Linked DNA regions of Drosophila melanogaster. The protein of the gene in region 1 purifies or fractionates together with the protein of each later gene. This does not show direct contact. Each region holds a gene or a part of one and is shown in the gene's direction. Other genes may lie near its edges. The genes, in order: Xport-A and Hsp27.

Region 1 (3,809 bases):
ACTCCACACCCGAAAGCAAATAATCTAGCAGATGACAACGATGACGATGTCATCACACACATCATGGGGAACTTTGGGCCCTGGCAACTGCGCTCCCTGCTCATCCTATTTCTCTGCAAGATTCCAGCCGCCTGGTTCATGGCCTGCATCCTGTTCACAGCGCCGGATCTGTACCCCGAGGAGGAGTACAAGTGTGATACGACGGCTTTCGGGCCGGATGTCAACTCCACCGTCTCGCTGGACCACTGCTATGTGATGGTTAACTACGGAGAGTCCGCCTACGCCATGCGCCAGTGTCGAAAGTTCCTCTACACCACGGGTTTCCACTCCCTGACCATGGAGTTCGATTTGGTGTGTCTGTGCGACTTCTTTGTGGCCTGGTCTCAGTACTGGCACCTCTTTGGCCTCCTAATCGGTGGCGTGGCGGCCACCAAGTTGATGCGGGTCCTGAGTCCCCGACAGATTTATAGAACTGGCATCTGGTGCCTGCTCATGTGCAGCCTACTGATGGGTCTTGTCAAAGACTTCAGTCTGCACTGTGGACTCCGATGCCTGGCTGCTGTTTCGTGCTGTTTTATGATCACCTCGGGGCAGTATATATGTAAGTAAAATTGAATATTTAAGAATACTTTAATATTAAATAACCTACTTTTCAGTTGGTGACATAACAGCGGGAAAATATCGCGTAGGAACCCTCATACTTTACGACTGCTTCTGGGCTCTGGGCTTGATTCTGCTCCCTGGCTTGGCCTCCAATGCTCCCAGCTGGCAGCACATATACTTGGGCGTAACTCTTTCCTTGCTGGTGATTGTCTTTCTGCTACCCTGGACTCCGGACTCACCGCGCTGGCAGCTGCAACACACCAAGGAAGCTCAACTGGCCATCGAGCGAACGGTGGGTATCCTGCTGGAAGCAGCCCGTACCAATGGTAGAATGCACAAAGTGTCCAAGGAGTTACCCCAGCAGTTGGAGGAGCTGAGAGAAAGGATGCTGGAGCCAATGCCCGCCGTGCATTGGATGCACTTGTGGATGGGCCAGCGTAGGAGTACTTTCCACTTGGTGGCCGTGCACATGGCACTTGCCACCTTCATGGTGGTCAACACTGGGCTGCTGCTCCATGTGCGGTCCTTTGGCAGGGAGCACCTGGTGTCCAACACACTGGCCATGGGCCTGGCCGAGATGCTTGGCTGCTTCCTGGCCCTACACCTGACCTTCAACCTGAGTGAACGCAAGTGGCAGTGGGCGGGGGGATTTGCCATCGTGGTCGGTTGCATCGGTAGCATCTGTTGGTTCCTGGCCGAGGAGGATATGCCCGAGGTGTATGGACTGACGCTGGGCTTGCTAATGGCATCACTTCCCCAGGCGGCCGTAGCCTGCGCCCAGTCCATGATTTTGGCCTGCCTGGGCGAACTGGTGCCAATGGAGCAGCGTAGTTGCCTCTCCTTCTCCGCCGTCACGTGGGCGCGGGTGTGGCAGCTCTCCGCCTCTTTTCTCACGCTGCTCAGGCAGGTGAGCCCCGCCCTCTCCCTGTCCGCCTTCTGTCTGCTGGTCATCCTGGGCGGCCTTGGCACATGTTGCCTGGTCACGCGGGACAAGGAGCAGCCACCGGTCGGAGCTGTGGTAAACAAGGGACAGCAACTTATTGCGTTCACGTAATAACGTATACTTAATATATGTCTGGGCGTATTTGATAAGTTAGTTGTAGTGTGTGTCAAGTATTCGCGAACAGTATTCGAATTTAGCTCATTAAACATTCGCTTATCGCGAATCGAATATGTATATTGGGTTGCATACTTTTGGGAATAAATCAAAAGTTCGGCATCTACACGTAGTTTGTTTAAAATGTAAAGCTTACATTAGATCAATGCAAAACTATTATAAACTATTTGGCAGAATAAGGCATTAAATAAATTAAAACTGGTTTGCATGATATTTAAATAAGCTTTCAGGAACCAGAGCCATTTGGGACCAATGTAAACCCACAAACACCAACCCTACCGGCGACCACCTTCATCCACCAAGTTGACACACATTTCGTGTGACTGGTATAATAAGTACACATGCCCGGCTAAATATCCAAGCGCATTGCTCCACTAACAACATATTTCTATTTGGTCACCTGTCCCACCATTCCCACCCAGCCAGAGCGACAAGCAGAAATCGCAAATCAATAAAATGGAAACCATAAAATTGCCAGAAGCGGCGCCACGCCAATTGGCACCACAAAGTTTGTGTCATTTGCGGAGCAGCAGTTGGCGAGGAAGCACCAGGCGGAGAGCACTTCCAGGACCAACTCCAATCAAATGCAGTGCTGTGCAGGCTGACCGACCAACTGCTGCTATCTGGATGCAATGAAGCCGAAGAAATCGGCCTTTGCCAATTCATCCACGGGATACGGCAGGAACAAGCACGGTAAAGGACACTCTGGCAAGGATAAAGTCGAGGGTGGTGGTAAGGGCAAGAGCCGAGACGAGAAGGATAAGCATAAGCATGAGCAGAAGGTGGACGAGAAGGATGACAAGGATCTAAATTCCGGCTTCGGCGACTATCTTCGCACTCCGGAGGGTCTGTAATTTTCGCTCCTTAAAAATATATAGTTCATTTAACTAATAAATATTACCCCTTTCCAATAGCATTTGAAATGATGAAACTCTTTGTCTTCGCCAATACCATAATGCTAATTGTCACCATGGCCTGGCCGCACATCAAGGAGCAATTCTACATGGTTAATCAATGGCTTGAAAGCTTCCGCGAGGAGCATCAGCAGTAGAAACCAAAGGATCTATCGAACAAATAAGTAAATCAAGTGGAAGCATACAATATGGTCGGTCCATTCATGCAGGGCCTATTCTTGATTGGCATCATCTACTGGTATTCCAAGGGGATGATGTCCATGATCAACGACTACTACAGAAGTGAGTTCCAGCGAAAGTTGCAGACGGAACCAGCAAAGACGAGGGCAGAGACACCCATCAATGTGGACAACTTTATGGATTATGTTAGGGAGCTGGACACTCCGGACGAGGTGGCTAGAATTCCGGCGGAAGGAACTGAATCTCCGCCCATGGGAAACACCTATTGCCACATCCTTCGACGATTCTTGGAGATTACCGGCACTCTACCACCATTCGATGTTTGCCTAGTTACGAGCAACATAAGATAGCCCATCCTATAATTAATTATATATGGTATCAATTATACTTAGTGTGTTTTATATGAGTTTCGTAGAATAAAATATCTTACTAACCGTATTGCATACTTAATTGTCTTGCTCTCTACATTCGAATTCTACATTGTATCCCACCATTATGAACAACAATAGAAATATTTATCCAACTTGTGGTTTTCAGCTTTTTTATTTAAATGTTTGCAGAATATATTCGTGTGTCTCCAGCATTAGCTCACTTACTAACCTATTCACAAAACTTTATAAACATACTAATCTCTATAAATATCATGGAATATATATCGATTTGGTCTGTAAGTAAGCTCTATTCAATCCAGATCTGGTCATTGCTAGTTTGCATCTGAAGCATCTCGTGAAAAATAGTTATATGGAGATATAAAGTAGTTAGGTATTTGACTTGGAAGTTATGCCATTTGGTTTATAATAAGTGCTGTCTACAAATCGCTTGTGTTCAGGTATTCGTTTTGTGGCACAAAGTGTAGAGTTTTGAAGATACCACAAAGCTGAAGATATCTTAAGTATCATTTGATTTAAGGAGGTCAGTATGTGATTAAGAGCTAGGTATTACCAATTTCATAAGAGATCCACATTCTAACATACACTACGCGCACCCACTCTTTA
Region 2 (3,926 bases), on another chromosome or scaffold:
GAGCGGTTGTATAAATAACCGGCACTTTCGTGCAACCGGCGTCAGTTGAATTCAAAAAGCCAAAGCGATAACAGCTAAAGCGAAAGTAACCTATCAACAAAAGAAGTTTATTCTTTGAAGGAGAATCATCTTGAAGCAATTAAAAAACAAAAATGGCAAATATTCCATTGTTGTTGAGCCTTGCCGACGATTTGGGCCGAATGTCGATGGTGCCCTTCTATGAGCCCTACTACTGCCAGCGCCAGAGGAATCCCTACTTGGCCCTGGTTGGACCGATGGAGCAGCAGCTGCGCCAGCTGGAGAAACAGGTGGGCGCCTCGTCGGGATCGTCGGGAGCCGTGTCGAAAATCGGAAAGGATGGCTTCCAGGTCTGCATGGATGTGTCGCACTTCAAGCCCAGCGAACTGGTGGTCAAAGTGCAGGACAACTCCGTCCTGGTGGAGGGCAACCATGAGGAGCGCGAAGATGACCATGGCTTCATCACTCGTCACTTTGTCCGCCGCTATGCTCTGCCACCCGGTTATGAGGCTGATAAGGTGGCCTCCACCTTGTCCTCCGATGGTGTCCTGACCATCAAGGTGCCCAAGCCACCGGCAATCGAGGATAAGGGCAACGAGCGCATCGTTCAGATCCAGCAGGTGGGACCCGCCCATCTCAATGTGAAGGAGAATCCCAAGGAGGCGGTGGAGCAGGACAATGGCAACGATAAGTAGAGGACTCGTTCCGAGAGATGCCCTGCATTATTTAACCATTATCAAAGTCATACATCTGTTTTATAAGCTGTAGTTATCCAAGGACACTTCACTCATACACAATAGCCATTAAGGGTGTCCTGCTTTAATCTTAGTTTGGAATATGTATTACTAAATTGGCGAAATTAATATTACCCATAAAAATAAATAACAAGTACACTTACTTATAATTGTGTTTGGTCTGTTTTTCTGGTTGGTTATGGGTTACTATTACTATTACTTTGGGAATTGTTTGGCTAGCTTGGCCCTTTTTCCTGTGATCCCGGTTTCTAGAATTTACTTTCTGCATTGTATATTGCATTGTTGTGTCACGTAAAATGGCATTTTTATTTAATTGTTGTTTGTGTACATAACTGACTTTTTACATTACTTCGGTAAAGAGACTTGAAGCTATGAATGTAAGGAACTTCAGTCAAGGTTAAATCCTTATGTAAAGCATGCATAAGTACATCATGTACATACATACGTACATAAGAATATACATCCCTTTTCACTCTCTTCTTTTTAATGAATTTCTGTCATCTCTACAAGAGATGTACGTTATGTACGTCCTTATAGCACGTACCTATGTACATGTATAAATTGAACTTCATTTTTGTATGTTACCGCAAATAATTACGTGCATGCACACATACACATACATATGTATGTATGCATGTAGTTTTGAAAATAATTATGTATTTTGGTTAACTGGTGAACCAAGAATAAAAAGATTCTATATACACATATACATATATATAGAAATGTATGCATATGTACATATAATAATCGAAACACTTGCAACAGACTGGCAATGATTTGCAAAATTTTCAATTGCCCCGTTTCCCACTTCGCGAAGCAGTGGCGAAAGCAACTGCAAAAATGTTTGCAACAAACAAAAGAACGGCAAACATGAGGAGCAGAACGAAGCGAGACAAGGGTTCAATGCACTTGTCCAATGAAAATACAAGCTCTGTTGCACTCTGAAAAGACAGCTTTTAAAAGAGCGATAAGAGAAGAAAATGCTTTAAATAAATACATATATCTGCATATATACGTACATGTACATACATATGTATGTACTGCATTTTAACTGTTCGTTTTGCTTTTTATTCGCAAAGAGAAACTCCCCAGAAAAGAAATGTCAAGAAGTTTCTGGTTCTTTCTCCCTCTCTCTATGAAAAGCCGGCTGTGCTAGAAAGAGCCAGAAGATGCGAGAGAAAACTGTTTGTTGAATTACGGGGCGTATTCAAAGGGGCTTTTAAATGTCGCTTAAATTTTAAGTTTGACAGGCTAATAATTGCTTGCCTATATCTAAATATTATTATATTTGCATTAGGGGATCATAGGGAAAACCTTCTCTGCAGGCAAAATCTAACGAAGATGGCAACCCCCCATCATTTTATTAAAGTTCCGTCCCTGGTTGCCATGCACTAGTGTGTGTGAGCCCAGCGTCAGTATAAAAGCCGGCGTCAACGTCGCCCGAGCACAGTCTAAACTGAAAAATTGAAGGCAAACGTTGAAGCAAACTTCGCTAAAAAAATTCGAAAAAGCAAAAAAAATTCCTTTGTCTAGACAGGGTTGTGAATAAAGAGAAAAAAAATCAAAAATGTCAATTATACCACTGCTGCACTTGGCCCGGGAGTTGGATCATGACTACCGCACCGACTGGGGGCATTTGCTGGAGGATGACTTCGGTTTTGGCGTCCATGCCCACGATCTGTTCCATCCGCGTCGCCTGCTACTGCCCAACACCCTGGGACTGGGTCGTCGTCGTTATTCGCCGTACGAGAGGAGCCATGGCCACCACAATCAAATGTCACGTCGCGCGTCGGGGGGTCCAAACGCTCTGCTGCCCGCCGTGGGCAAAGATGGCTTCCAGGTGTGCATGGATGTGTCGCAGTTCAAGCCCAACGAGCTGACCGTCAAGGTGGTGGACAACACCGTGGTGGTAGAGGGGAAGCACGAGGAGCGCGAGGACGGCCATGGAATGATCCAGCGTCACTTTGTGCGCAAGTATACCCTGCCCAAGGGCTTTGACCCCAACGAGGTAGTGTCCACTGTCTCATCCGACGGTGTGCTGACCCTCAAGGCCCCGCCGCCGCCCAGCAAGGAACAGGCCAAGTCGGAGCGCATTGTCCAGATCCAGCAAACGGGGCCTGCCCATTTGAGCGTCAAGGCACCGGCACCCGAGGCTGGCGATGGAAAAGCCGAAAATGGCAGCGGCGAGAAAATGGAGACTAGCAAGTAAAAGACGAAAAGAGGAAGACTAGGAGATGAAGAAGACGAGAAGAGGAAGAAGACTAGAAGAGGAAGAAGTCGTGAAGGAGGAAGAAGACGACGAGATTCGCTGGCGAAGCACGAGAGAAAGAAGAATTTAAAAGAAGAAACGGGAGTGTTGCCGCGCTGCTCGGAGAGAGCAAGACTAAAAAGGACACACCACAACACACCCAATGTATTACATTCACACACATCACATCATTACATCATCATCATAACATCCTAGACTAAGTGATTTTAAACTCCATTTATCATAATGCATAAAAAAAACAAAATTTTAGTGTGTATTATTAGGCTAAACAACTGGAGGATTCATTGCTCCCTTTGAGTTTATACTTTTTGTAACAAGAACAGGCGCAACACTCGGGAGAATTTTGCATTTCATTTGTGAATAAACGAATACAATAAATACAAATACACGAAAAGAAGTCAGCTGTCGAGTTTTTGTTGGTTTTTTTTCCTTTTTAGCTTCGAATCTGCAAATGTATTTGCATTTAGGGTAAACCGGCTTTTGTTGGGTGTCGTTAACTTTCAAGGGGTCTTATGTACATATTCTGTTTTCCTTGTCCTTGAATTGGACTTGTGGAAAATTAAATGGTCAGCCAATTGCTTAACCTTTGTCGACGATTGTTATGATGATTTGTAATGATTTTGCACAATTCAGAAATCGATATAAAAAAAAATGGGAAATGATTTTTGTTTTTCAATTACATTTTGACAAACGTCATGCAAATATTTCCAGTTCCGCGCACACTGAAAGAAAATCCAAGATAAGAACGACATTTAAATAATTTAATCAATTGTTTGCACATATTTATTTAAATATTTAATACATAATAAAAAATTTAGTTGCCCGTTCTGATTTCATATTGGTTGTTTTATGCTCGTAACTTGTAGCGATCATAAGTATTTACT

Evidence for each region.
Region 2: the proteins of Xport-A (region 1) and Hsp27 purify together in Drosophila melanogaster (affinity purification with western blotting, with the first as the bait; one study listed by BioGRID). This does not show direct contact.

The regions. Positions count from the first base shown.
Region 1 is NT_033777.3:19,913,838-19,917,646, reverse strand, and holds Xport-A (exit protein of rhodopsin and TRP A), read left to right. Parts: upstream 1-2,234; 5' UTR 2,235-2,352; coding exon 2,353-2,566; exon of another isoform or gene 2,567-2,570; intron 2,571-2,634; coding exon 2,635-2,771; 3' UTR 2,772-2,822; coding exon of another isoform or gene 2,823-3,164; 3' UTR 3,165-3,251; downstream 3,252-3,809. Other genes in the region: CG4465 (uncharacterized protein), read left to right, coding at 1-601, 657-1,657; Xport-B (exit protein of rhodopsin and TRP B), read left to right, coding at 2,823-3,164.
Region 2 is NT_037436.4:9,381,846-9,385,771, forward strand, and holds Hsp27 (heat shock protein 27), read left to right. Parts: upstream 1-2,217; 5' UTR 2,218-2,340; coding exon 2,341-2,982; 3' UTR 2,983-3,849; downstream 3,850-3,926. Other genes in the region: Hsp23 (heat shock protein 23), read left to right, coding at 153-713.